4 linked regions of the Stegostoma tigrinum genome follow. The protein of the gene in region 2 purifies or fractionates together with the protein of the main gene of each other region. This does not show direct contact. Links are inferred from orthologs where the notes say so. Each region holds a gene or a part of one and is shown on either strand. Other genes may lie near its edges. The genes, in order: serine/threonine-protein kinase Nek9, activating molecule in BECN1-regulated autophagy protein 1-like, bag5 and dnaJ homolog subfamily B member 1-like.

Region 1 (7,188 bases), on a different chromosome or scaffold from region 2:
GTCTCCACAGACACGGCCCAGACCTACTGAGGTTCTCCAGCAACTCCTGGTGTCAGACACAGAGGATCCGCAGATCTTCGTCTCGTTTCAATTCAACCGTTACAGAGATGTTACTGCACACCTTTAGGGAGGGTGGGACTTGAACACAGGCCTCCTGACTCAGAGACAGGGTCATTACCACTGCACCACACGCAGGACCCTCCAGAGGGTCACGTGCACGTTGAAGGGCCTCATGGTCAAAAGGAAAACACTTGAGTGTCACAGCGGTCCTCCCGCCACCAGGGAGAATGAGAGATAATGGGAACTGCAGATGCTGGAGATTCCAAGATAATAAAATGTGAGGCTAGATGAACACAGCAGGCCAAGCAGCATCTCAGGGGCACAAAAGCTGACGTTTCGGGCCTAGACCCTTCATCAGAGAGGGGGATGGGGAGAGGGAACTGGAATAAATAGGGAGAGAGGGGGAGGCGGACCGAAGATGGAGAGTAAAGAAGATAGGTGGAGAGAGTATAGGTGGGGAGGTAGGGAGGGGATAGGTCAGTCCAGGGAGGATGGACAGGTCAAGGAGGTGGGATGAGGTTAGTAGGTAGATGGGGGTGCGGCTTGGGGTGGGAGGAAGGGATGGGTGAGAGGAAGAGCAGGTTAGGGAGGCAGAGACAGGTTGGGCTGGTTTTGGGATGCAGTGGGTGGGGGGGAAGTGCTGGGCTGGTTGTGTGGTGCAGTGGGTAGGGGGACGAACTGGGCTGGTTTAGGGATGCGGTGGGGGAAGGGGAGATTTTGAAGCTGGTGAAGTCCACATTGATACCATATGGCTGCAGGGTTCCCAAGCGGAATATGAGTTGCTGTTCCTGCAACCTTCGGGTGGTATCATTGTGGCACTGCAGGAGGCCCATGATGGACATGTCATCTCGAGAATGGGAGGGGGAGTGGAAATGGTTTGCGACTGGGAGGTGCAGTTGTTTTTTGCGAACCGAGCGGAGGTGTTCTGCAAAGCGGTCCCCAAGCCTCCGCTTGGTTTCCCCAATGTAGAGGAAGCCGCACCGGGGACAGTGGATGCAGTATACCACATTGGCAGATGTGCAGGTGAACCTCTGCTTGATGTGGAATGTCATCTTGGGGCCTGGGATGGGGGTGAGGGAGGAGGTGTGGGGACAAGTGTAGCATTTCCTGCGGTTGCAGGGGAAGGTGCCGGGTGTGGTGGGGTTGGAGGGCAGTGTGGAGCGAACAAGGGAGTCACGGAGAGAGTGGTCTCTCCGGAAAGCAGACAGGGGAGGGGATGGAAAAATGTCTTGGGTGGTGGGGTCGGATTGTAAATGGCGGAAGTGTCGGAGGATAATGCGTTGTATCCGGAGGTTGGTAGGGTGGTGTGTGAGAACGAGGGGGATCCTCTTGGGGCGGTTGTGGCGGGGGCGGGGTGTGAGGGATGTGTCGCGGGAAATGCGGGAGACGCGGTCAAGGGCGTTCTCGATCACCGTGGGGGGAAAGTTGCGGTCCTTAAAGAACTTGGACATCTGGGATGTGCGGGAGTGGAATGCCTTGTCGTGGGAGCAGATGCGGCGGAGGCGGAGGAATTGGGAATAGGGGATGGAATTTTTGCAGGAGGGTGGGTGGGAGGAGGTGTATTCTAGGTAGCTGTGGGAGTCGGTGGGCTTGAAATGGACATCAGTTACAAGCTGGTTGCCTGAGATGGAGACTGAGAGGTCCAGGAAGGTGAGGGATGTGCTGGAGATGGCCCAGGTGAACTGAAGGTTGGGGTGGAAGGTGTTGGTGAAGTGGATGAACTGTTCGAGCTCCTCTGGGGAGCAAGAGGCGGCGCCGATACAGTCATCAATGTACCGGAGGAAGAGGTGGGGTTTGGGGCCTGTGTAGGTGCGGAAGAGGGACTGTTCCACGTAACCTACAAAGAGGCAGGCATAGCTGGGGCCCATGCGGGTGCCCATGGCCACCCCCTTAGTCTGTAGGAAGTGGGAGGAGTCAAAAGAGAAGTTGTTGAGTGTGAGGACGAGTTCAGCTAGGCGGATGAGGGTGTCGGTGGAGGGGGACTGGTCGGGACTGCGGGACAGGAAGAAGCGGAGGGCCTTGAGGCCATCTCCATGCGGAATGCAGGTGTACAGGGACTGGACGTCCATGGTGAATATGAGGTGTTGGGGGCCAGGGAATTGGAAGTCCTGGAGGAGGTGGAGGGCGTGGGTGGTGTCACGGACGTAGGTGGGGAGTTCCTGGACCAAAGGGGAGAAAATGGAGTCCAGATAGGTGGAGATGAGTTCGGTGGGGCAGGAGCAGGCTGAGACGATGGGTCGACCAGGGCAGGCAGGTTTGTGGATTTTGGGAAGGAGATAGAAACGGGCCGTGCGGGGTTGGGGAACAATGAGGTTGGAGGCTGTGGGTGGGAGGTCCCCTGAGGTGATGAGGTCGTGAATGGTGTTGGAGATGATGGTTTGGTGCTCGGGTGTGGGGTCATGATCGAGGAGGCGGTAGGAGGTGGTGTCGGAGAGTTGGCGTCTGGCCTCGGCGATGTAGAGGTACCATACTACCACTGCGCCACCCTTGTCTGCGGGTGTGATGGTGAGGTTGGGGTTGGAGCGGAGGGAGCGGAGGGCTGCCCGTTCTGCGGGGGAGAGGTTGGAGTAGGTGAGAGGGGTGGAGAGGTTGAGGCGGTTGATGTCTCGATGGCAGTTGGAGATGGAGAGGTCGAGGGAGGGTAGGAGGCCTGGGGGTGGTGTCCAGGAGGAGGACTTGTGTTGGAAGGGGGTGAAGGGGTCAGCGGAGGGAGGGTGAGGCTCCCGGTTGAAGAAGTAGGCGTGGAGGCGAAGACGGCGGAAAAACTGCTCTATGTCCGACCGTGACTGGTGTTGGTTGATGTGTGGTGCCCACGGCCGACGCCGACGGAACCCCGCCCACGGCCGGCAAAACCCCGCCCATGGCCGACAGAACCCCGCCCACGGCCGACGACCTCATCGCTCCGCCCACAACCTCCACAGCCTGTAACCCCAGAGGAGACAGCCACACTGAACCCTGCCGAATCTTCACCTTCCCCCCAGACCTCCCACTGACTGAGGACGAACGGTCAGTCCTGAGCAAGGGGCTCACCTTTGTCCCCCTACAACCAGGAAATGCTACACTGTACCCGGTGCGGCTTCCTCTACATTGGGGAAACCAAGCGGAGGCTTGGGGACCGCTTTGCAGAACACCTCCGCTCAGTTCGCAACAAACAACTGCACCTCCCAGTCGCAAACCATTTCCACTCCCCCTCCCATTCTCTTGATGACATGTCCATCATGGGCCTCCTGCAGTGCCACAATGATGCCACCCGAAGGTTGCAGGAACAGCAACTCATATTCCGCCTGGGAACCCTGCAGCCATATGGTATCAATGTGGACTTCACCAGTTTCAAAATCTCCCCTCCCCTACTGCATCCCTAAACCAGCCCAGTTCGTCCCCTCCCCCCACTGCATCACAAAACCAACCCAGCTCTTCCCCCCCACCCACTGCATCCCAAAACCAGTCCAACCTGTCTCTGCCTCCCTAACCTGTTCTTCCTCTCACCCATCCCTTCCTCCCACCCCAAGCCGCACCCCCAGCTACCTACTAACCTCATCCCACCTCCTTGACCTGTCCGTCTTCCCTGGACTGACCTATCCCCTCCCTACCTCCCCACCTACACCCTCTCCACCTATCTTCTTTACTCTCCATCTTCGGTCCGCCTCCCCCTCTCTCCCTATTTATTCCAGAACCCTCACCCCATCCCCCTTTCTGATGAAGGGTCTAGGCCCGAAACGTCAGCTTTTGTGCTCCTGAGATGCTGCTTGGCCTGCTGTGTTCATCCAGCCTCACATTTTATTACCAGGGAGAATGGTCACTGTGGTCCTCCCACCGCCAGGGAGCGGCGTCAACGTGGTCCTCCCGACACCAGGGAGAATGTTCACTGTGGTCCTCCCACCGCCAGGGAGCGGCGTCAACGTGGTCCTCCCGACACCAGGGAGAATGGTCACTGTTGTCGTCCCGCCGCCAGGGTATGGGTGGAGGGGGGTCAGTATGGTCCTCCAGCCGCGAGGGGGCGATAAGCGCGGGTGTCAGGTGTTGGGGGGAGAAAGAGCGGTCCTCCCGCCGGCAGGGAGCGGCGTCAACGTGGTCCTCCCGCCGCCAGGGAGTGGGGTCAGGGTGGTCCTCCCGCCGCAAGGGGGCGGACACTGTGGCGGGGGAGACGCGGCCTCGGGCCTCAGGCTGTGAGGGGTGCAGCTTCTCTGTGGGCCCGAGACTGCGGCGATGGAGCTAAAGCCGTTCGAGCGGCACCTGGCGTCGGTGAGCTCCGAGTTCGGTGGCAGTGAGTCGGGCGGCACAGGCCCAGGATCCGGAGACTCTCTGCTGAGTGAGGCCGGGACCGAGGTTCACTACATCCCGGTGAAGATCCTGGGCAGAGGTGCCTTCGGGGAGGCCACCCTGTACCGGAGGACGGAGGTGAGGCCCGGGCCTGGGAGGGGCCGGTCAGGAAAACAGAACAGAGCCGGAGCGCAGTGACAGCAACGAACAGGGTCCTCGCCATGTCCACCGTCACAGCAACCGGGACCTTCACTGGGTCCAGCCGCCACCCACAACCCCCCAGCCCCAGCACCCCCCACCCACAGCCTCCCCCCACCCCCCCACACACAGCCTCCCCCCACCCCCCCACCCACAGCCTCCCCCACCACCCCCCCATCCACAGCCTCCCCCCACCCCCAGCCTCCCCCCACCCCCCCCACCCACAGCCTCGCCCCACCCCACCACCCACAGCCTCCCCCACCACCCCCCCACCCACAGCCTCCCCCACCACCCCCCCATCCACAGCCTCCCCCCACCCCCCCCACCCACAGCCTCCCCCCACCCCCCCCACCCACAGCCACCCCCCCACCCACAGCCTCCCCCCACCCCCCCACCCACAGCCTCGCCCCCCCCCACCCACAGCCTCGCCCCACCACCCCCCCACCCACAGCCTCGCCCCACCCCACCACCCACAGCCTCCCCCACCACCCCCCCACCCACAGCCTCCCCCCACCCCCCCCCACCCACAGCCTCCCCCCACCCACAGCCTCCCCACCCCGCACCCCCCCACCCCGCACCCCCCCACCCCGCACCCCCCCACCCCGCAGCCACCCTGCCAGCCCCCCGCCGCCTCCCCTGTCCCCCTCCGACCGCGCGGCGCTCCCTCAGCGCTGACCCATCCACAACATTGCAATGTTTTTTAAATTAGTTGTGTTGCCTGCATCCTGCTTTGGAGATTCCTGTCCTAGCATCATCGGATCTCTCTATTTCACTTTAGCCGACTGTTTACTTTTAAATAGTGCCACTTTGGAAAAGCGCAGTGTTTTCTCCATTGCTTTCCATCTTCCCCCATCCTATCTGACTCATTCAACCTGTATGCAGTGCCGTTCTGTCATTTTGTCGACTTAGTTTTCTTTGTATGTTTGTGTGATCAGAAAATTTTGTATCTCTGATTTCAGGCTCTCCATTCAATTCATAGAACATAGAACATAGAACAGTACAGGCCCTTCGGCCCTCGATGTTGTGCCGACCTGTCATATCAATCTGAAGCCTATCTCACCTACACTATTCCATGTACGTCCATATGCTTGTCCAATGACGACTTAAATGTACCTAAAGTTGGTGAATCTACTACCGTTGCCGGCAAAGCGTTCCATTCCCTTAGTACTCTGAGTAAAGAAACTACCTCTGACGTCTGTCCTATATCTTTCACCCCTCAATTTAAAGCTATGCCCCCTCGTGCTCGCCGTCACCATCCCAGGAAAAAGGTTCTCCCTATCCACCCTATCTAATCGTCTGATTATTTTATATGTTTCAATTAAGTCACCTCTCAACCTTATTCTCTCTAATGAAAACAGCCTCAAGTCCCTCAGCCGTTCCTCGTAAGACCTTTCCTCCATATCAGGCAACATCCTAGTAAATCTCCTCTGCATCCTTTCCAAAACTTCCACATCCTTCTTATAATGCAGTGACCAGAACTGTACGCAATACTCCAAGTGCAGCCGCACCAGAGCTTTGTACAGCTGTAGCATAACCTCTTGGTTCCGGAACTCGATCCCTCTATTAATAAAAGCTAAAACACTGTATGCCTTCTTAACAGCCCTGTCAGCCTGGGTGGCAACTTTCAAGGATCTGTGTACATGGACACCGAGATCTCTCTGCTCATCTACACTGCTAAGAATCTTACCGTTAGCCCTGTGCTTTGCCTTCTGGTTACTCCTACCAAAGTGCATCACCTCACACTTGTCCGCATTAAACTCCATTTGCCACCTCTCAGCCCAGCTCTGCAGCTTATCTATGTCTCTCTGCAACCTACAGCATCCTTTGTCACTATCCACAACTCCACCGACCTTAGTGTCATCTGCAAATTTACTAACCCATCCTTCTACGCCCTCATCCAGGTCATTTATAAAAATGACAAACAGCAGTGGACCCAACACCGACCCTTGCGGTACACCACTAGTAACTGGTGTCCAGGATGAACATTTCCCATCAACTACCACCCTCTGTCTTCTTTCAGCAAGCCAATTTCCGATCTAAACTGCTATGTCTCCCACAATTCCATTCCTCCGCGTTTTGTACAATATCCTACTGTGGGGAACCTTATCGAACGCCTTGCTGAAATCCATATACACCACATCAACCGGTTTACTCATCTACCTGTTTGGTCATCTTCTCAAAGAACTCAATAAAGGTTTGTGAGGCACGACCTTCCCTTCACAAAACCGTGCTGACTATCCCTCATCAATTTATTCTTTTCTATATGATTATAAATCCTATCCCTTATAACCTTTTCCAACACTTTACCAACAACTGAGGTAAGGCTCACTGGTCTATAATTACCAGGGTTGTCTCTACTCCCCTTCATGAACAGGGGAACCACATTTGCTATCCTCCAGTCATCTGGCACTATTCCTGTAGACAATGACGAGTTAAAGATCAATGCCAAAGGCTCAGCAATCTCCTCCCTGGCCTCCCAGAGGATCCGAGGATAAATCCCATTCGGCCCAGGGGACTTATCTATCTTCACCCTCTGAAGGATTTCTAATACCTCTTCCTTGTGAACCTCAATCCCACCTAGTCTAGTAGCCTGTATCTCAGTATTCTCCTCGACAACATTGTCATTTTCTGGAGTGAATACTGTTGAAAAATATTCATTTAGTGCTTCCC
Region 2 (7,039 bases):
TTGATTTCTCCACATTCTCACCTAATAGCCTTTTCGCAATTTGCTTCTCAATAATCTCTCAAAATGCGCAAAGAATCTACTACCAATTATTTTCATTCAAAGGGTGGGGAATCATTAGAATTCACTAATCAGAGGGCAACATTCCCTTTAAGCACTTCAGAATCTCTCAATGGCTGCACAATCAAACCTTCCATAAGCTGCTGTCACACGCAGACCTTCAAGACTGATAAATCCATTAGACCAAATGAGTTACATTCCAGTGTCAAAGTTTTTGGCTAGAGATTCATGCATTCGTGATCATCTTTCAAAATGATACAGACACTGAAAGCATTCCTGCAGGCTGAAGAGTGGCAAATGTAAGCTCATCATTTAAGAGGGAGAATGGACAACTACAGATCTGTTAGTTTGATGTCAGTACTAAGGAAACATTAGTATCTATTGTAAAGGATAATATTTACTGGACACAAAAATCAGGCAGAGTTAACATGGATTGAATGAAAGGAAATCAAATCGACAAACTTGGTCTTTTATTGAGAATGTTACTTGTAGTATAGATAAAAGTGAACCAGTAGATGTGCTGTGTTCAAATTTTTGGAAGGCTTGATAAAATCTTCAATGGGAGGTTAATTGCAACAAAACTAAGGGTCTAGGCCTGAAACGTCAAGCTTTCCTGCTCCTCTGATGCTGCTTGGCCTGCTGTGTTCATCCAGCTCTACACCTTGTTATCTCAGATTCTCCAACAACTGCAGTTCCTACTATCTCTAAAGTGTATGGGTTTGCGATTAGTATACTGGCACAGATTTTAAAATTGGTTAACAGGCAGAAAGTAGGAAGCAAGTAATTGTCATGACCGCAGTCTGTGGAGTATTGCAAGGATATTAAGGTAGGAATATTGTAGACAGGAATTTCCCTTGGCTAGCATGCCTAAAACCAGGTGTCACAATTCCAGAGCAATGGCACACCATTCAAGATTATGGGGAATCTATTTTCACCCAGAGGATGGGGAATTGCTGGAATTCACGATCCCGGACAGCAACATTCCCTCCAAGATGTGCGACTGCTGAGGGTGGGGTCTGCACACGCCAAATAGCATGCTTATATGTTTGTTTCCATAAACTGTTAGTGTGCACGGACATGGGAAGGCTGCACAGTGGGGAAAAGTCGTACGGGAGCTTTGCCGGAGGGGTAACTTAATCACTGAATATGTTCAAGATAGAAATCAGTAAGATTCTCATTCTCAAATGATAACAGCGGGTGTGGAAATAGCGTAGAAAAGTGACTTTGGAGTAATGGTCAACCACGATTTAATTAGATGGCGGAGCTTCTCGACGGGCTGAGTGGCTGATTCCTGTGCCTAAGTAACTTGCATGTTTTGGGTCACAGCCTGCAACAGGTCTTCGGTACTACCAGGAAAAACAAATAAAAGCAGCCTCACAAGCCAACGAAATCCACTGAAAAGCTGTATGTTGACACAGACAAACTGCATTGCATATACATGAAGGACACTGGACAGTGAAGTTTCCAGTCGCGATTTAAGAAATCAACGGCCCGTTTAATTTCCGGGGTAAAAAGACAACTTTTAAACGCCACTGTCTTGCGGCCGAGCAAATCCTTCAGTCCTGAAACTGCACCGAATTTTTCTTTTTTTTAAAAAAAAATACGGATAGAACTGCGCACGCTGCAAATCAGAAACGAAAGCGGGAATTGCCGGAAAAGCTCAGCACGTCCGGCGGTATCAGAGAAGCGAAAAATCAGTTCCGAAGGAAGGGTCATCATCACTCGGCCCGAACTGGCTCCCCGACATCGCAGCCAGCAGAGGAGGCTATTCGGCCCGCAGTGCCTGTGCCAGTGCCCAAAAACCAGTCAACAACAACAGCAACTTACATCTTAGCCGCACACAAGTGGGAATAAACGCCGAAGCTGCACGGTGCCGTAAAATTATGAATAAGTGAGACTTATATTAAAAACAAACCCGCGTTTTCAGCGGGTGAGGACGGTACCGATGGGTTGTAGCCCCTACCCAGGCCCCAGCGGACACTCACCCCTCACATTCCAGCAGACTTCTCCGGCACCGCCCGAGTTGAACGGAGCGGCGGCCTTGGCTCCCGTCGCCCCAGCCCGGTGGAGGGGTTGGGGAGAAGCCGTCCTCAATCGCCAATCACACCCGCGATCCCAACAACAAAAACGGCGTCGCCAGCGGCCTCCCGGCCTCAAACTGCCTCTGTTTACCTCCGCCACGCTCCGCGAACATCGCCCCTCAGCGCCGGCGCGCACATTCGCCATCATCACACACCACAACTCCCGCCACTGAAACTAAACCAAGCACGAGTGAAAACGCTCCAGTAAATAAAAGTCGGCGACGCGTCTTCTTTTCACCGTGATAGAATTAGGATTTTATTCTTCCTCCCCACAACGACTACGAAGCCCGCTATGTCGAATGTGTGGTCGCCAAACAGAGAGTCATCTTGTGTGGCCTACAAACCCCAGTATGCCCTGCGCCCAGAGGGGACTACATTTCCCAGGAGGCAAAGGGTAGCAGTGACCCAGTTTCCAAAGTAGTGAGAGAGTTAGGCAGAGATTTCAGCCCTCTGTTTTGGAATCTTAAGTTGAAGTTGCAGGGAAGTTCTCTCTGACTTAGGAGAATTTCAAAGGCTGATTGTTTTAGAAATACAGATGAGATGCATTCTGACCACTTTCCTCTTTTTTTTTGAATGTTCCATTCCCCATTCTTTCATTGTCCCCAACAGGATGTTCTGCAGATATAAGGAGAAAACGCTGGGTACGCTCAATATTATTTAGAATTTTCAGAGTTCCAGCATCCAGTATTTTATTTACAGTCCAATGAACATCGATGCCCTCTTTGTATCCTGCGTTACTCACCAGTCGTGACTGCATTGCAAATATCGGCACACTATTTGGCCTTCAGCTGAACTTATTACTGTTCTTACCCAATTCACACATGGCAAAGTTTAATAGTTTGTATTCTGATGTGAAACTGACTGTGTTGAAAGATGGTCAATATAAATTATTACTAAACCAAGACTTGGCCCCAGAATGGGTAAATAACTGAAATGAAACTGGCAACTTAACATTATACAGCATTACACACTGAATCATACACTTAGGTGAGGTCAAAGATGAGAATTTTTACAGTCTAACTTGTTATATGATCATGAGTTACAATTAATGTAATTTTCAAGAACACCAAACTTCCTTCAAATTGTCTTTTGGACAAGTGCAGTAATTCAAGAAAATTGGTCTGTCAGCGGTAGTGCTTTGAATTGTGCCTCAGAAGGATGCATGGTTGCATTATTCAGAGCAAACAAAGAAATAGTTTCCTAGGTTTAAGCCTCATCTTGAAACTTGAATATGTAACTTTTTGTGCAGCGCAGTTAAAGTACTAGATTTAAAAAGGTGCTGTTTTTCAGAATAAATATGAAATTGGGATCCCATTTGTTCTCTCAGATGGATGTAAGATATTCCCAAGAGAAATTTCTTGGGAATATTCAAACAAGAGAATGGAATTCTGGCCTAAATGTATTCTTCAAATGTAACTAAAACAAGTTATCTGATCAGTTATTTCATTTCTGCCTGTTGTGACTTTTTGTGCAAATTGAATTTTATTTTTTTGTCCGTTACAACAATGATGACTGTTAAAAAGGTACATTATTGGGATATCCTGAGAGAATGTGTGAGATGTTGCATCAAAATAATATTCATCTCCTACTCTATTAAGATTGTGGTTCTCTGAGCATTGCCAAAGCTAAGATTAGCTAATTAAATCTATATCCAGGATTAAACTTTTTAGCCTAGTAATGTGATTTGTTCTTTATTGAATAACGTTATGTAATTGTTAACAATAAGAACTCAAGCACATTGTACAAACCTTGCCTTAATGAGACTGACAATACAGGCTATCATAATTCACATTCCAGTATTTTCAATAGGAGGTTTGCCAAGACTGAAGGTTTCCAGGTTTCCCACACGATTGCAAAAACCAAACCATGGATGATGAGGCACAGATACAACATGTGAACTGAAAACCCTTTCAACGTGTCAACTAAGCCTGTAATGCATGGTGTATTCTTTTCAAATAGATACACATGTTTGATGTGAACTGTTAAGCTGAGATACTGCGAGCGGGCATTTAAAGTGGTCCAGCAGCCAGTCGCGGAAGCAGGCGGTGGTTGAACAATTTCACTTGCTCTGGCCTTGGCTGTCTGAAGTCTTCCTGTTGGGATGAATGGTCGATGTTGTAGGTTCCATTGTTCTGGCCTGGCTCCGGATTGCATCCATTGCTCCGTATCAATTACACTGGTCTGGGAGAGACATTGATGTCTGTAACACAAGAAATTATGGAATATGTGAAAGGTTTCTAGGCCACACCAAAACTTGGCCTTTTGGTGGACAGTTGTATTCCGCTCAGTGATGGATACTAACCAGTTTGTTTGACGTACGGCACTTTCTACCTGTCTTCCCCAGAGGTAAGTGAGGCAAAACTCCACAGTCTTGTGCCTGGTATTCTGTGGATTAGACAAGTTGTCATGGTATCTCTCAGGGACATTTTTCCTTCCCCCCCCCCCTCCCGCCTCCTTCCACCCACTGCTCAGTTTCCAGGAATGAATTTCTCCTGTGGCAGTTCATAAATGTGAAGCACTGTCCTTGTTCACTGTGTTCCGGGGCTGGGGAATAGTTTAATGCTGTTTCAAGAGGGGGAGTCCTACACAAAATGTCTGCCCAGGCTGTGTTTTAACCATCAATTTTACAAGCACAAAATGGGAAGCTCGTTAGGCTGGAGTGGTTCTGGGAAACATGAAACTGGCCCCCTTTTTACTGACATTTTAATTTGATGAATTTATTGTGATCCAGTAGGCCTGTAAACGACATTTCCTCTTTAATGTTGTAATCTGAGAAATGAAAAACCCTGATAGAGGGCCCTCTTTCGAAATAGTTCGACTATAAGACGAGGCAAGAATTTATGTAAATGTAATCTTTTAATATTTCAGTATGTTTAGTAGTCTAACAGTTTGAGTCTGAGAGGTGACATAATTGGTGTGTAAAATTAGGAGGGAATTTGAGTAAATAGAGGTGACAAATTTTCCTTAACAGAGGTGTCAAGAGCTTGAAGTCATTGGTAGAGGAAAGATGAGGAAACTTTTTTTCGCCCATGCAGAGGCTGGTCGAGACATAAACTGTCACCGCAATTAAGTAAATATTTGATTCTGCTTTGAAGAATTGTTACCTGCCAGACTTTTGATCTAGCGTGATAAGGTAGGATTAGGCTGGGAGGGCTCTTTGTTAGATGCCACTTCCAGATTGACCTGAATGGCTACGTTATATGTTATAAATTTGGATATTTCAAAATATCATTCTCAAAGTGTAGTCATTGTTGTGCTGGCAAATGTTGTAGCTCACTGCAGGCTTTAAAATCTTGATTTTAGGAAAATGATATTGAGCGTGGTGAGGAGTTCCAAATTTGAGATGGCCTGGACCTTCCTCCAATGTCATTACAGACATTTGAGTAGAAAATTCCTGAATCGCTTTGGTATATACTGGAATGTAAAAACTGGTGTGAAACATGTCAAAATTTATGTCAACCATTGAGTTATTAGGAAATTGTCAAAGCTGTGCTGTTTTTATTCTTTAAATTACTGTTTATGCGTGAAAATGGATCTCCAAAGCTAACAAGCATCAGACACATCAAGTTTTAAAAACAGTTTATAATATTGTGGCGCAAACAACACGATGCCATAAATATGTGTTAAAGACACAGAATATATTTTATTTACCTCAAAAATGAGATGATTTTAAAAAATTTACATAAAGAAATCCCCACGAAACACAAGCAGAATGATTAGACTTGCTTATAAACATTAAAATGTAAATTCTAAGCCTGATCATACTGGTTAAAGATCAGGAAATTTCCATGTAGCCATATGAATTACAAACAAATAGATGATTTGCTCCTTGCTTCCCATTCCTATTGAATCCTCATATCCTTTGTCCCCTTTGGTAGTGTATCTATGTATGCCTTTAAAATTTTAAATCACCCAGCCTCCAATGCTGTCTGGGGAACAGAATTCGAAAGACTCATCACCCTCTGAGAAAAAAATAAAACGCTTAGTTTTCATCTGAAATGGTTTACCCATATGATCTTCATTTTTAAACCATTTTTCCAGTTTGTCATTGCACCACAATGGGAAGGAACCTTTCAGCATCCACTGCATATAGTCCCACAGGATCTTATATGTTTCAGCAAGACTATCCCTTATTCTTCTAAACTCAAGTGGATACAGGTCATAGATAGTAGGAACTGCTGATGCTGGAGAATCTGAGGTAACGAGGTGTGGAGCTGGATGAACACAGCAGGCCAAGCAGCATCAGAGGAGCAGGAAGGCTGACGTTTTGGGCCTAGAAGAAGGGCCTAGGCCCAAAACGTCAGCCTCCCTGCTCCTCTGATGCTGCTTGGCCCTCTGTGTTCATCCAGCTCTACACCTTGTTATCTTGGATACAGGTCATGTCTGTCCAACTACTCCTCAAAAGATAATTTCCCCATCCTAGATATCCATTGAGTTGAAGATATTCTGAACTATTTTCGATGCAAGATTAGTCTTCCTTAAGTAAAGAGACCAAAACCTTACATACAGCTCTAGATGTAGTCTTGCTAGTGCTTTGCACAAGACCAGCAAAACATCCCTATTTTTATGTTTAATTCGCATTGGAATAAAATAAAGATATAATATATGCTGCATTTTCATACTAACCTTGTATGGTTTGTGTACCAGACTACCTTGATCCTTCTGTACCTCCAGTGTTGTGCAATCTTTCTTCATTTAAATCATATGCTGTTTTCAGTTTATCCACATTATACTCCATTTGCCAAATTTTCCTGCTCAGCAAACCTACCCTTTGCAGACTAATTGTATCCTTTTCACACTTAACTTCATTTTGTATCACCAGCAAAGTTAGCAACTGTACATTTGTGCACTCTTCTCCATCCTCCAAGTCTTGAACTACAGTTATGTATGGGATGGGTTGG
Region 3 (7,547 bases), on a different chromosome or scaffold from region 2:
TTTCTTGAAGACAGGAATTACATTTGCCTCTCTCCAGTCCTCAGGTACGACTCCAGTGGACAGCGAGGATGCAAAGATCTTCGCAAGTGGCGAAGCAATTGCATTTCTCGTTTCCCAACGTAGCCGAGGACAAATCTGGTCTGGGCCTGGCGACTTGTCAATCTTAATGTTTGACAAAATTTTCAGCACATCAGCTTCCTCTATCTCTATCTATTTCAGCATGCACACCTGCTCTTCAAAGGTTTCATTCACTACAAAGTTCATTTCTTTCATAAAGACCTGAGCAAAAAACTCATTTAGGGCTTCCCCTATCTCCTCAGACTCCACACACAAGTTCCCTATGCTATCCCTGATCGGCCCTACTCTTTCTTTGACCATTCTCTTATTCCTCACATAAGTGTAAAATGCCTTTGTGTTCTCCCTAAACCGTTCTGCCAAGCCTTTCTCGTGCCCCCTCCTGGCTCTCCTCAGACCATTTTTGAGATCTTTCGTCGCCTGCCTGTAATCCTCTAGAGCTGAGCTTGACCCTAGCTTCCTCCACCTTATGTAAGCTACCTTCTTCCTTTTGATGAGAAGCTCCACCGCTCTCGTCATCCAAGGTTCCTTTATCTTACCCCTTCCTGCCTGTCTCAGAGGTACATATTTATTCATCACTCGCAACAACTGTTCCTTATACAGTCTCCACATGTCTATAGTGCCTTTACCATGGAACAATTGCTCCCAGTCCATGCTTCCTAACTCATGTCTAATCGCATCATAGTTTCCTCTTCCCCAATTAAATATCCTCCCATTTTGCCTAATCCTCTCCTTCTCCATAGCTATGTAGAATGTGAGGCAGTTATGGTCACTATCACCAAAATGCTCTCCCACCACAAGATCTGATACCTGCCCCGGCTCGTTTCCGAGCACCAAGTCTAGAATGGCCTCTCCCCTCGTCGGCCTGTCAACGTACTGAGTTAGGAAACCCTCCTGAACACACCTTACAAAAACAGCTCCATTCAAATCTTCTGCTCGAAGGAGGTTCCAATCAATATTGGGAAAGTTAAAGTCACCCATTACAACAACCCTACTACGTCCGCACTTTTCCAAAATCTGCCGACCTATGCTTTCTTCAATCTCCCTGCTGCTATCAATTTCTTTCAGTGTTTTTTTAATAATGCAGAGGATGGTGGGGGTGTCTGGAATTCGCTGCCTGGGTAAGTGGTGGAGGCAGAAAATGAAAACTCTTCAACATATCTGAATCTGCACTTTAAATGCTGTAAGCTGCAGGGCTACGGCCTGTGGTCAGGAATAAAGAATTAGAAAGATCATCTGGGTATCTTTGGGACAGACTGAACAAGATGTGCCAAACGGTCCCATTCTGTGCTGTATCATTTCTATGGTTCTGTTTTGACTGGGTGATAAATATTAGCCAGGACAAAAGGATAACTTCTTTGTAATTCTACATAGTATGAGGGGATTTTTTTTGTCCATGTGAGAGAACATGCAGTGTGAAAAAACTTGAAAAATCTGTGGATGCTGTAAATCAGAAACGAAAACAGAAGTTGCTGGAAAATCTCAGCAGGTCTGGCAGCATCTGTGAAGATAAATCAGAGTTAACGTTTCGGATCCAGTGACACTTCCTTGGAGCAGTTGGTGGCGAGGAAAATGTCAGTTTATGTGCTGAAGATCGGGTGGAATGAGTGGGTTGGGAGTGAACGATAGGTGGGAATAGTGTCCAAAGACAGAGAAGAACAGTTGGACAGACAAAGGAGTGGATAATGATCTGGCTGGGAGGGTGAATAGCTGTTAATGGAGACGGTTATTGGCTAACAATAGATAGTGTGTAATGGCAGAATATGTGAAAACAAGGCCTGGTGTGTAAAGTAGGGGTCTAAGTCATGGAAGAGTTCAGGCCCTACAATTATTGAACTTGATATTGAGTCCGGAGGGCTGCAGGGTCCCCAAGCAGGAAATGAGACGTTGTTCTTCCAGCTTGCGCTGAGCTTCACTGGAACTGCAGCAAGCTAGAGACAGAGATGATGGCCAGGGAACAGAATGGTGTGTGAAAATGGCAGGCAGAGTCTTTTTTTGTGAGCAGAATGCAGGTTCTGTGAAGTGGTCACCCAGTCTATGCTTTGTTTCCCCAATGTACAGGAGACCACATCATGAGCAGTGAATGTAGTAGACTAGATTGTGCAAAGTTCAGGTAAAGTGTTGCTTCACCTATAAAGTATGTCTGATCCCTTGGATACCGAGGAGGGTGGAGTTAAATAAGGAAGTCTAGCGTACTGGCCTTGATATTACAGAGGCTGAGCGCCTGCTCTTAGATAGATCCTCCTATTGTACCTGGATCATGACCTCACCATGACACATCAGACCATTGTATCTCTCACGGTCAGTGACCTCAGTTCAACCGTCACTGCCTCGAAGCTGATAGTTCCCCCAGCTCCACACAGCTCGCTTCTACCTCCTTCCGAAAATCCATAAACAGGACTGCCTGGGCAGACCCATCGTTTCAGCCTGCTCCTGTCCCACAGACCTCATCTCTTACTATCATGATTCAGTCTTTTCTCCCCGTTCCAGTCCCTGCCCATATATGCCTGAGATTCCTCTGACACTCTATTCCGGTTTCAGAATTTCCAGTTTGCAGGCTCCAGCCACTACCTTTTAACTCTTTACACATCCATCACCCCCCCACACACAGAATGGTCTCAGGGTTCTCCACTTCTTCCTGAATGGAGGCCTGAGCTGGCCCCACCCTCCTTCACACCCTCAACAACTTCATTTTTAACTTCTCTCATTTGCTTCAGGTCAGAGGGATGGCCATGGGTATCCACATCAGCCCAGTTACTCCTGTCTCTTAGTTGGGAACATGGAACATTTCTTGTTCCAGTCCTATTCCACTCCCACCCGCAACTCTTTCTCCAATATATTGATGATATTATCGGTACTAATTCCATCTCTCATCAAGAATTGGAAAAATTCTTTGATTTTGCTTCTAATTTCCACCCCGGCCTAACTTTCACCTGGTCTATCTCTGGCTCTTCCCTTCGTCAGCATCTGTTTCCATTTCTGGGGACAGACTAACCACTACATATCCACTATAAACCCACCGACTCCCACAGTTACGTGGATTATACATCCTCGCAATTCTGCCTTCTCTAAAGATTTCAGTGCATTCTCCCAGTTCCTCAAACTCGGTCGCATATGCTCCTATTGGGCCAACTTCAACAAGGGAGCTTCTGAAATGTCCACCTTCTTCCTCAACGATTCCCCAACACCATTGTCAACAAGGCCCTCAACCAGATTCGACCCATCTCTCACACATCTGCCCTCAGCCCCTCTCTTCCCTCCCACAACATTGATAGGGTCTCTGGATTAACAGTCCAGCAATAATACCACTAGGCCATTTTACAATTTTACAGGTCTGATTGAAAAAGAGATTCACAAATTACGTCTAATGAGGGGAAGGCATGAAGCTTTTCCTGAAAAGAACTTCTACAGCACTGGAATTTTTGATGTATGTACTTCATAGCAAAGTAGCAATCAATCTTTGATTGCAGTCAGTCTCAATTAGTCTCAAAATAGCTATCGGATGAAAGCAGCTACAACTCAAACAGCTCAATATCCAAGACAAGACAGCCCACTTGACCATCCCATTCACCACTTTAAACATTCATTCTTTATGGCAAACTGCATGACACGGGTGGCTGTAATGTGTACCATGCAATACACTGCACTAACTCTCAGAAGGTTTTTCCGCCAGCGTGTGCTAAATATTTTAAGATACTGCATCCAAAACGCAAAGGCTACAATTGCGGCATTTAACATGACAGCTTGAGATGGCTGATATACGTGAACGATTCTGCCAACGGATGAAAATTTTCCTCCATTGTCCACTTCTAACAATAATATTCAGCATCCACGCTGAGTTATCTCTTAATAAATCAAACCTTCGTTAAAGCAGTTTGCGGGGAAAAATCAAGCACAGTACAATATTATGTTTATATCCTACGTTAGGTAGATCAGGACAGTTCCCGAGAGGGTAATAAGTTTCAAATAACATCGACAGTCACCCTAGAGTTGCTTCACATTTACTAGAAACAGGAAAGTTGACATATACCTCGGTACCATTGTCACTTTGATCAGCAGCACTGCTCGAAACTGGACAGCACCTTCCTCCCAACACCACGTATTTGTCCCCTCCAGTTTCCTTTACCCGGGTACTATGAAATATTCTTGTTCTCGATAATTTTCCAACAAACGAAAAGACAGTTAGGCACCTACAGCTCATCACTGACAACACACAACCATCCGCCCTGTCCGAAGCTGTTCCAGTTTACGGCAGTAAGGAACCGACATCCTGTCGTGAAAGCGATCCGGCAGTTGGCAGGGTTTGGCTCTACGCATGTGCGTGGTCGAAAACTCTTCGAGCTATCGCTTTCCAGAGTTTCCGGGCGGGCAGTTGGCAGGGTTTGGCTCTACGCATGTGCGTGGTCGAAAACTCTTCGAGCTATCGCTTTCCAGAGTTTCCGGGCGGGCAGTTGGCAGGGTTTGGCTCTACGCATGTGCGTGGTCGAAAACTCTTCGAGCTATCGCTTTCCAGAGTTTCCGGGCGGGCAGTTGGTCGGTGAGTGGAAGGATCCAGAAGGAGCTTCTGGTGGGTTTGACAGGGAGTGAGCTCGTCTCCCTGTCCCACTTCGGTGTGTTCAATCGGGCGCGCACGCGGTTTGGGAGCGAGTCTCGTGCATGCTGTCTTTCGGTATGACCGGTGCGGCCTGGCCCGTATGACAGAGCCTAACGTGGAGTTTATCTCTCGAAGCCTGTGCCAACAGGCCGTCCGGCTTTTGCTGCGCTAACGCCTCATGAGTTTACTCAGAGATACTAGGATCTGCCGATGACGGAGCCTAAGATAACAAGGTGTGGAGCTGGTGAACACAGCAGGCCACACAGCATCAGAGAAGGGTCCAGACCCGAAACGTCAGCTTTCCTGCTGCTCTGATGCCGCATGGCCTCTTGTGTTCATCCAGCTCCACACCTTGTTGCTTCATAAATTACATCGAGAAGTGAAGACAAACTGGCTGCATCGCAGTCAGTGATACGTTAATCATCCTAGTTCCCGTGTAATCTGAAGGCACGATATGTCCAAGGGAGATTTTCTCTAGCACCACCCCGCAATCCAGCATACCATATCAACATGATCTGTGATGCTTAGTATCCTTCCTTTTTTTATTTTTCAGTCACAGAATCCCTACAGTGTGGGAAGAGGCTCTTCGGCTCGTGGAGTCTGCACCAACCTTCCGAAGGGCAAGATAACAAAGTGTGGAGCTGGATGAACACAGCAGGCCAAGCAGCGTCTTAGGAGCACAAAAGCTGACGTTTCAGGTCTAGGCCCGAAACGTCAGCCTTTGTGCTCCTAAGACGCTGCTTGGCCTGCTGTGTTCATCCAGCTCCATACTTTGTTTATCTCAGATTCTCCAGCATGTGCTGTTCCCATTATCTTCCAAAGGGCGTCCAACCCTATTGCCGTAACTCCCCATTTATGGCTAATCCACCTAGCCTGCACATCTTGGGAGAAAACCCATGCAAATGCGGGGAGAATGTGCAAACTCCACGTAGACAGTCACTCGCGTTTGGAATTAACTTGGGCCCTGGCTTAGTGAGGCAAAAGTACTATAGTGAGCCGCCCTATTCAGGAATTATCTGATCGAGCCCTTTTTCATGACGCACTATATGTGTAAGCCTGTAATTTGTTCCCTAAATGAATAGTCTTTTGGGAATAAGAATGACCTGCCATCCGACCAATTCTACCCTTGCGTGATTTATATGCAGGATCTGAAGTTACATCGAAGTTAAGAGCAGGATTTGACTCGGCTCTGCCATTCAATATCATCACGGTTGATTATTGAACTCAATACCTTAGGCCTGCCCATTCCTCCTCCTCCTTCCTTCGCGCCTGCTTCCCCACCCGCAAATATGCCTTAATCACGAGTCACAAGAGCTATATGTAGGTACATATAGTTGTATACTTTGAAAACAATGTTTTGGTCTCAACTAGTTTCTGTGGTCATGAAATCCACAGGTGTACCATTGTTCAGGTGTAGAAATTTCTGCAGAACTGAGTTCAAAAGGTTTACCTCTCGTCCTTAAATTATGACCTCTGGTCTGAACTCCCCCACATTTGGGAACATTCTTCCTCCATCCAACCTGTCTAGCCCTGTTAGAATTTTGTAGGTTTCTACGAGATTTCCCCCCCTCATTCATCTAAACTCCAGTTAATACAATTCTAACTGTGTCAATCTCTCCTCATACATCAGTTCTACCATCCCAGGATTCAATTTGATAAGCCTTCACTGAACTTACTCAATAGCAAGACACCCTTCCCCAGGTAAGGAGACCAAAACTTCAGTCATATTCCATGTGTGGCCTGAATAATTGCAGCAAGGGCATCCTCATTCCTGTATTCAAATACTCAAGCTTTGAAGGCCAACGTACGGTTTGCTTTCTTTGCTGCTGCACCTGTGTGCTTATTTTCAATGACTGGTGCATGATGACACCAAGTCTCATTGAACATTCTCCTCTTAATTTACAACCATTCAAATAATGATGTATTATCAAAGTGGTACTTTCTTATCAGTCCAGTTGAAATAACATATTTGCATGAAAACTTGAAACTTCAATATTTGAAGCAAATTTCCTGGTTACCACCACACTAGCCTATGCTTCTTTAAGGAACTAGAGCCAGCTCTTTGATAATTACTTCGCTACATAATTTCATGGAATAGAATCATAGAACCCCTACAGTGTTGAAGCGGGTCATTCATCCCATCAAGTTTGCACCAAACCTCCAAAGAATATCATGTCCAACCCAACACCCCCAACCCCCATCCCTACATTTCCCATGGCGAATGCACCTAGCCTGCACACTGTGGGTAATTTAGCATGGCCAATTCCCCTAACCTGCACACCTTTGGAGTGTGGGAGGTAGTGGAGGAAACCCACCTGCCCACTCCCATGCACAGATGGGAAAATGTACAAACTCCACACGGCCTGAGAGTGGAATCGAACCCAGCTCCCTGGCACTGTGAGGCAACAGTCCTAGCCACTAACCCCTATTGAGCGTGGCTGACACCGTATGGCTTTTCTCATCCATATATCTCTATGTAATATTTGAGAAAATGCAGGGAAGGTTTCACTTTGCATACATTTTGTAAACACGCAGTGAGGTACAGTTTGTTAGCAGCTATATTTTAGGCAACTGATCACAATGATCATCACCAGAATTCTAGTTAAAAGAATTAACAAAACAGTCCAAAGTTAATTGGTGGACAAACTAAGACAACAGGTGAATAACTGTAATTTAAAAATGATGTCTGAGTACAAATATCTACAAAACCTGACCTCCTTTTATCAATTTTCCAATACACAGTACATCAATATGTTCATTTTCAGGCTGGAAACAGCCCATGCAAACTTGCCATGCAAAAACTACATCCTCCCACTCCTGGTGGTACTGCTGAGACTGAATTTTGCATCTTTCAGCTCACTAGAAATATTTAGTCCAT
Region 4 (7,336 bases), on a different chromosome or scaffold from region 2:
GTCTATAACACTTGGTTGAGGTCAACTACTTGTTGAGGACAACTACTTGAGGTCAACAGCACCAATGATATAGGTAAAAATGAGAATGAGGTCCTACAAGCAGAATTTAGGGTGTTAGGAGCCAGGTTAAAAAGTAGGACCTCAGAGGTAGTAATCTCAGGATTGCTACCAGTGCCACCTGCTAGTCAGAGTAGAAATGAAAGAATAGGCAGGTTGAGGGAAGGGTGAAATTGGTAACTAAATATCCCCAGATGTAGATGCTTTGGGCAGAATAGAAGGGGAAGTAAAAGGGGTGGAGGAGTTGCATTACTGGTCAAAGAGGGTATCACAGCTGTACTGAAGAAGGGTACTATGGAGGACTCGAGCAGTGAGGTAATACGGGCAGAACTCAGAAACAGGAAGGGTGTGGTAACAATGTTGGGGCTGTGCTACAGGCCTCCCAACAGTAAGCGTGAGATAGAGGTACAAATATGTGGACAGATTATGGAAAGGTATGGGAGTAACAGGGTGGTGGCGATGGGAGATTTTAATTTTCCCAACATTGACTGGGATTCACTTATTGTTAGGGGTTTAGATGGAGCAGAATTTGTAAGGAGCATCCAGGAGGGTTTTATGGAGTAGTATTATGTAGTCCAACTCGGGAAGGGGCCATACTGGATCTGGTGTTGGGGAATGAGCCGAGCCAGTTCGTTGAAGTTTCAGTAGGGGATTACTTTGGGAATAGTGATCACAATTCCATAAGTTTTAGAATACTCATGGACAAAGACGGGAGTGGTCCTAAAGCAAGAGTGCTAAATTGGGGAGATGAAGACTGTGGCAAAATTCAACAGAAGCTGGGGAGTGTGGATTGGGAGTAGCTGTTTGAAGGTAAATCCACACTTGATATGTGGGAGGCTTTTAAAGAGAGGCTGATTAGAGTGCAGGCAGACATGTCCCTGTGAAAATGAGGGATAGAAAGGGCAAGATTAGGGAACCATGGATGACAGGTGAACTCATGAGACTAGCAAAGAGGAAAAAGGAAGCATACATAAGGTCTAGGTGACTGAAAGCAGACAAAGCTTTGGAAGCACATTGGGAAAGTAGGACCAATCTGAAATGAGGAATTAAGAGGGTGAAAAGTGGTCATGAAATATCTTTAGTGAACAGGGTTAAGGAAAATCCCAAAGCCTTTTATTTGTACATAAGGAGCAAGAGGGTAACTAGAGAAAGGGTTGGCCCATTTAAGGACAAAGGAGGGAAGTTTTGTGAGGAGTCAGAGAAAATGAGTGAGATTCTTAATGAGCACTTTGCGTTGGTATTCACCGAGGAGAGGGACGTGACAGATGTTGAGGTTAGGAATAGATGTTTGATTACTCTAGGTCAAGTTGGCAAAAGGAGGGGGAAGTGTTGGGTATTCTGAAAGGCATTAGGGTTGGCAAGTCCCCAGTTCCAGATGGAATCTATCCCAGGTTACTGAGGAAAGCAACAGAGGAAGTAGCTGGGGCCTTAACAGATATCGTTACAGCACCCTTGAGCACGGGTGAGATCCCGGAGGACTGAAGAATTATTAATGTTGTCCCCTTGTTTAAGAAGGGTAGCAAGGATAATTCAGGTAATTATAGACCGGTGAGCCTGACGTTAGTGGTGGGGAAGCTGAGGGATGGGATCTATTTACGTCTGGAAGAAAATGGGCTTACAAGTGATAGGCAGCATGGTTTTGCACAGGGAAGGTCATGTCTTACCAGCTTGATAGAATTCTTTGAGGAAGTGGCAAATTTGATAGATGGTGGAAGGGCTGTGGATGTCATATACATGGACTTCAATAAGGCGTATGATAAGGTCCCCCATGGTAGGCTGATGGAGAAAGTGGAGTTGCATGGCATCCAGGATGTATTAGTAGATAGAAAACTGGCTGGGCAACAGGAGACAGAGAGTTGTAGTGGAAGGGAGTCTCTCAAAATGGAGAATGGTGACCAGTGGTGTTCCACAGGAATCTGTGTTGGGAGCACTGTTGTTTGTAATATACATAAATGATCTGGAGGAAGGTGTAGGTGGTCTAATTAGCAAGTTTGCAGATGACACTAAGATTGGTGGAGTAGCAGATAGTGAAGGGGATTATTGGAGAATGCAGCAGAATATAGATAGTTTGGAGAGTTGGGCAGAGAAATGGCAGATGGAGTTCAATCCAGACAAATACGAGGTGATGCATTTTGGAAGATCCACTTCAAGAGCAAACTATATGTAAATGGAAAAGCCTTGGGGAAAATTGATGCATAGAGAGATCTGGGTGTTTAGGTCCATTGTACCCTGAAGATGGCAACGCAGGTCGATAGAGTGGTCAAGAAGGCATACGGCATGCTTTCATTCATTGGACTGGGCATTGAGTACAATAGTTGGCAGGTCATGTTACAATTGTATAGGACTTTGGTTCAACCACATTTGAAATACTGCTTACAGTTGTGGTCGCCACATTACCAAGAGGATGTGGATGCTTTGGAGAGGGTGCAGAGGAGGTTCACCAGGATGTTGCCTGGTATGGAGGGTGCTAGCTATGAAGAGAGGTTGAGTAGATTGGGATTATTTTCTTTAGAAAGACAGAGGTTGAGGGGAGACCTGATTGAGGTCTACAAAATCATGAGGGGTATAGACAAGATGGATAGCAAGAAGCTTTTTCCGAGAGTAGGGGACTCAGTTACTAGGGGTTACGATTTCAAGGTGAGAGGAGGAAAGGTTTAGGGGAGATATGCCTGGAAAGTTCTTTACGCAGAGGGTGGAGGGTGCCTGGAACGTGTTGCCAGTGGAGGTGTAGAGGCAGGCATGACCGCGTCATTTAAGATGTATCTAGACAGATACATGAATAGGCAGGGAAGAGAGGGATAAAGGTCCTTGGAAAATAGGTGACAGGTTTAGATAGAGGATCTGGATCGGCGCAGGCTTGGAGGGCCGAAGGGCCTGTTCCTGTGTTGTAATTTTCTTTGTTCTTTATCTTTGTTCTTGTTCTTTGTGCTTGCTCTGGAAGATCCAACAAGTTTCAGGAAGACCAAAGAGAATCTTTCTCTGAGTTGCTGGTCCTCCAGGTGCAGTTGATATTTGTCTTGGTGTGTGTCCCCGGGAACAGACCGTCGAGCACACATACCTGTGTCATGGAGCTGCTCGGAATGAACCTCGACAAAAATCACTGCATCTCTCTCTGTATTTCGTTCGCAAAGGCACATTCCAGAAGGAGGTGTGTGCCAGTCTCTAACCCCACCTTGCAGCCACTTTGAGGGCAGCGTGCGGTGGTGCAGATTAACCGGGCGTACAAGAAGGATCTCACAGGCTGGAAAGTCTTCGGCTTTCAATTTAGTAAACACTCAGGTTTCCTATCCTTCCTTAAATAAAGCAGACTGGAGTCGTGGGCTCAACACTCTCTTACCAGTGATGTACAAGTAACCCTCCCTGTCATTGCTGCCCTTTCTCTTGCCCGGGGAGAAGTTGAATTTGGGGACCAAGAAGCAATTCCACATCTCGGAGATGAATGGATGAATGAAAACCGAAATAGCCACGGATGTTTTAAATCAGAACAAAAGTTGCCGGAAAAGCTCAGTAGGTCTGGCTGGATCTGTGAAGAGAAATCAGAGCTCACGTTTCAGATCCAGTGACCCATCCTCAGGAACTGACTGAATGAATGAGTGAATGCTGTTGCTGCGAGCATGTACCACAGCCCGGCCATCGCCTCGAGGGGGCGGGGTTTGGCGTAGAGGGGCGGGGTTTGAGTGTGGAGGGGCGGGGTTTGGTCTGTAGGGGCGGTGTTTATCGGGACGGCGTGGTTTTGGAGTGGAGGGGCGGAGAATGAGTGTAGCGGGGCGGGGTTTGAGGGTGGAGGGGCGGGGTTTGGTCTGGAGGGGCTGTGTTTATCGGGACGGCGTGGTTTGGAGTGGAGGGGCGGAGAATGTGTAGCGGGGCGGGGTTTGAGGGTGGAGGGGCGGGGTTTGTCCGGAGGGCAGGGTTTGGGATGGAGAGGCGGGATTTTAGGGTAGAGGGGCGGGGTTTGAGCGTGGAGGGGCGGGCTTTGGTGGAGATGCGGTGCGTTTGGTGTGGAGGGGCGGATTTGTCGGGGGTGCGGGTTTTGAAGGTGGAGGGGCGGGGTTTGTTGGGAATGGGGTGGGTTTGATGTGGAGAGGGTGGTCTTTGAAGTGGACGGGGTGTGTTTTGGTGTGGAGGGGGTGGGTTTGGTGTGGTGAGGCGGGGTTTGGAGGGGCGGGGGTATCGGTTTTGTCGGGGGGGTGGTGTGCGGAGGCCGGAGGCGGGGCTTGGACTGGTGGGTGGGATTTGGCGGTTGGGATCGGCGGGGCTGGGTGAGAAGGGGGCGGATCTGGTGAGGAGAGGAAGTGACGATGTATGGAATGTTCCTGAAAGTTCGAGCAATTTGTTGAAAGTGTTGCGGAGAGACGGTGAGAGCGGCGCGGCCTGGTGAGTGTTGCTGAGGGGTTCCGAATGTATCCAGGGTGAGGGGCATGTCCATTAGGTACATTGGCGGCCGAATGTATCCTTTCCCTTTTGTGTCAGGGCCCGGATACATTGTTTCCCCTTGCTACTTTGGGGAGAAAACGTTGTGGGTTGGGCAAGGTTTGAAGCTGTTGGAGTTAGGAAGGGGTGTGGACAGGACAGGGGCAGCCCCTGTGCCTGTTATTTGATAAATTGCCCCTCCCTGCCCTGTGTTGTGACAGACAGCCCGTGGGGGGGGGGGAAGCGGGTAGGGGGTAACGAGACTGCTCTTTCCCCATCATCGTACATTTTTCCAAAGGTTAGGGGAATGACAGGCCCTCCAGCCCAAGGTACTTTCAACGTAAACCTGCAAGGGTTAAGAACAGCCGTCAACTTCTACATCTCTCTCTTTCACCTTTCTTCCCCCGCTCCTCCCGTGTTCTGGTTTAATTGTCTTTCAAAGGGTGTATCCCATCCTGGCAGTAAACCAGAACTAAAGGGTCTTTACAATTCTACCCCCCCCCCACCCATAACAAAATTCCTTTTCTCAGCAACTCATAGGGTAACCTGACACTGACTGATCAGCTGTCAGATCCCAGCTGACATGGGGATTACAGCCAAAAGCAGAAATTGCAGGAGAAATCTTCTCAAAACTCGATTGCATGAGTAACTCAGTGGGTCTGGCAGTGTCTGTGGAGAGAGAGAGAGAAATGCAGTTAACATTTTGAGTCCTGCTGACCTTTCAGAACTTGAAAAGGGTAACCACACCAGCTAGCTGGTGAAACCAGGCCAGGACTTATTTGGAATGGGAGATCTCCTTCAAAAAGGTGCCATTTGCATTGCGTTTCTGAGCTTATGATTTCAGTTGGTCTTTTGTCAGGGGAGGGGAGGGGAGCTAAAATCTTCAAATGGTTGTGGTTTTGCTTTCTCTCCATTGCTTGCTAATTTCTTTGGGCTCTGTAATCTTTGCAACCCCATTGACAGAGTTGTGAAGAACTCCCTGAAATCAGTACAGTAGGCCTAAGGGCCTCTTTCTGTGCTGTGTAACTTTATAACTCTTTTCTCTTCTATTGCAGTTGTGTATCTGGAATGTTAGCAAAAACTTAAGGAGGTTATCTTTTCTGCCATCAGAAAAGATGATGAAGTGGGGGGTGTGGTTGACTTGTGAAAGGAGAGAAGGGTGACCTATACAGAGTCGGGGAAAGGACTTGTCAGAATTGTCAGGTGTGCAATTGATTTGTCATATGTACCAAAGTTTAGTGAAAAGCTTTGTTTACCAGCGGTTCAGGCAGATCATAGTAAGCGAGGATGTACAGGTCAAAAAGACATAGACAGGCAAACAGGATGTGTGCTAGGTGTGATCAATGTTAGTAAGATCAGTGTTGTTTGATGCTAGACAGTCTGTTTATCAGTCTGATAACAGCTGGCAAGCAGCTCTTCCTGAATCTGCTGGCCCTTGTGTTTGGACTTCTGTATCTTCTGCCTGATGGAAGAGCTTGTAGGAGGTCATTACTGGGTTGCAGTGGGTCTTTGATGTTGGCAGCCTTTCTGCGGCTGTGAGCTGTGTAAATGGAGTCCATGGATGAATGGTCATGAGGCAGTGAGAAGGTCCATTGATCCTTGAGTAATGCAGGACAATATCTTGAGGGGCATGGATAGGGTGAGTGGGTCAAGGCCTTTTCACTAGGGTTGGGGAGTCCAAAACTAGAGTTGGGAAGGGGGCTGGGGGTAGGATTTAAAAGGGACCTTAGGGGAAAGACTTGCCTGCAGAGCGAGGTGCCTATGTGGAATGAACTGCCTGGGAAGTGGTGGAGGCTTGTACAATTACAACATTGAAAAGACATCTGGATGGGTACTTGAATTGGAAGGGTTTAGTAGCTTGTGGGCCAAATGCTGTGTGATGGATCTGGATTGAGTTTGGATATCTGTTTGGCACAGGAGGGTTCGTGACTGCTTGTAAATGTTAATGACTCTGACTCACTGACAATGTTGGTGGCAACACAGGTAGGTTTGGAATTAAAAACCTAAACTAATGGTGGTTGGTGGGTAAGGGAAGACTTGTCTTTATAGCACCTTTCATGACCAGCATGGCTGTGGTATGTACTAGACGACTGAGATGTTTTTTACAGTACCAAAGTAGGTCGGGGGAAAGATACTGACCTGGGATATTGGGGAGGAACACCCTGACTTTATTTTCAAAATGCTGATTTTGTTTTTCCTCAAAAGACAGCTGGGAAGTAACATATTGAACCATGTGATGTGAACTTGAAGAAGAACCAAGGAAGGATTTTTTAACACAGCAATGGTTGAGATAGCTGGTCCAATTAGCAAAGAGCTCATGGGATCCAAGACAAAGTGGCACATTAGATCCAGAATTAGCTAAGAGCCAAAACGTAGAAGGAAGTTTCTCTGACTGGAAGTCTGTTTCCGGGGTGGGGGGAGCTGGCAACAAGTGAGGAAGATGGCCATAAATGGTGGGAAAACATCAGTGTACTGCTCACGTGGGCAGGGTAGTGGCAAATGGAATTAGTGCAGAAAAGAGAAGTAATGCACTTGGCGAGGGCCAGCAAGGCAAAGGATTACACTGTAAATAGCACTGTGGAAAGTATTGAAGTTCAGAGCGACCTTGATGTGCATGTCCATAGATCTGTGACAGTAGTAAGGCAGGTAGGTAAGTTGGTTAAGGTGTTTAGGATACTTGCCTTTATTAGCCAAGGTGTAGAATACTGCAGTAAGGAGGTTATGTATAAAACACTAGGTAGGCCACAATTGGAGTAATGTGTGCAGTTCTGATCGACACACTATGGAGAGAATGTGATTTTTCACTAGGGGAGATTTACCAGGATGCTGCCTGGACTGAAGGGTCTGAAATGTGAGGAAAGATTGGATA

Evidence for each region.
Region 1: the proteins of activating molecule in BECN1-regulated autophagy protein 1-like (region 2) and serine/threonine-protein kinase Nek9 purify together in Homo sapiens (affinity purification with mass spectrometry; 3 studies listed by BioGRID and IntAct, with this or other methods). This does not show direct contact. The link is inferred for Stegostoma tigrinum from reciprocal best matches to the Homo sapiens genes AMBRA1 and NEK9.
Region 3: the proteins of activating molecule in BECN1-regulated autophagy protein 1-like (region 2) and bag5 purify together in Homo sapiens (affinity purification with mass spectrometry, with the first as the bait; 3 studies listed by BioGRID). This does not show direct contact. The link is inferred for Stegostoma tigrinum from reciprocal best matches to the Homo sapiens genes AMBRA1 and BAG5.
Region 4: the proteins of activating molecule in BECN1-regulated autophagy protein 1-like (region 2) and dnaJ homolog subfamily B member 1-like purify together in Homo sapiens (affinity purification with mass spectrometry, with the first as the bait; 3 studies listed by BioGRID). This does not show direct contact. The link is inferred for Stegostoma tigrinum from reciprocal best matches to the Homo sapiens genes AMBRA1 and DNAJB1.

What each region holds. Positions count from the first base shown.
Region 1 is NC_081363.1:1,271,490-1,278,677, forward strand, and holds the start of serine/threonine-protein kinase Nek9, read left to right. Parts: upstream 1-4,186; 5' UTR 4,187-4,266; coding exon 4,267-4,458; intron 4,459-7,188.
Region 2 is NC_081370.1:2,164,040-2,171,078, reverse strand, and holds the start of activating molecule in BECN1-regulated autophagy protein 1-like, read left to right. Parts: upstream 1-4,029; 5' UTR 4,030-4,484; intron 4,485-7,039. UniProt on the Homo sapiens protein: Substrate-recognition component of a DCX (DDB1-CUL4-X-box) E3 ubiquitin-protein ligase complex involved in cell cycle control and autophagy.
Region 3 is NC_081363.1:40,506,466-40,514,012, reverse strand, and holds the start of bag5 (BAG family molecular chaperone regulator 5), read left to right. Parts: upstream 1-4,612; 5' UTR 4,613-4,642; exon of another isoform or gene 4,643-4,685; intron 4,686-6,299; coding exon of another isoform or gene 6,300-6,370; intron 6,371-7,547. Other genes in the region: cytochrome c oxidase assembly factor 8, read right to left, coding at 4,106-4,276. UniProt on the Homo sapiens protein: Co-chaperone for HSP/HSP70 proteins. It functions as a nucleotide-exchange factor promoting the release of ADP from HSP70, thereby activating HSP70-mediated protein refolding.
Region 4 is NC_081388.1:21,035,745-21,043,080, reverse strand, and holds the start of dnaJ homolog subfamily B member 1-like, read left to right. Parts: upstream 1-4,322; 5' UTR 4,323-4,431; intron 4,432-7,336. Other genes in the region: c35h19orf67 (UPF0575 protein C19orf67 homolog), read right to left, coding at 3,395-3,485. UniProt on the Homo sapiens protein: Interacts with HSP70 and can stimulate its ATPase activity. Stimulates the association between HSC70 and HIP. Negatively regulates heat shock-induced HSF1 transcriptional activity during the attenuation and recovery phase period of the heat shock response.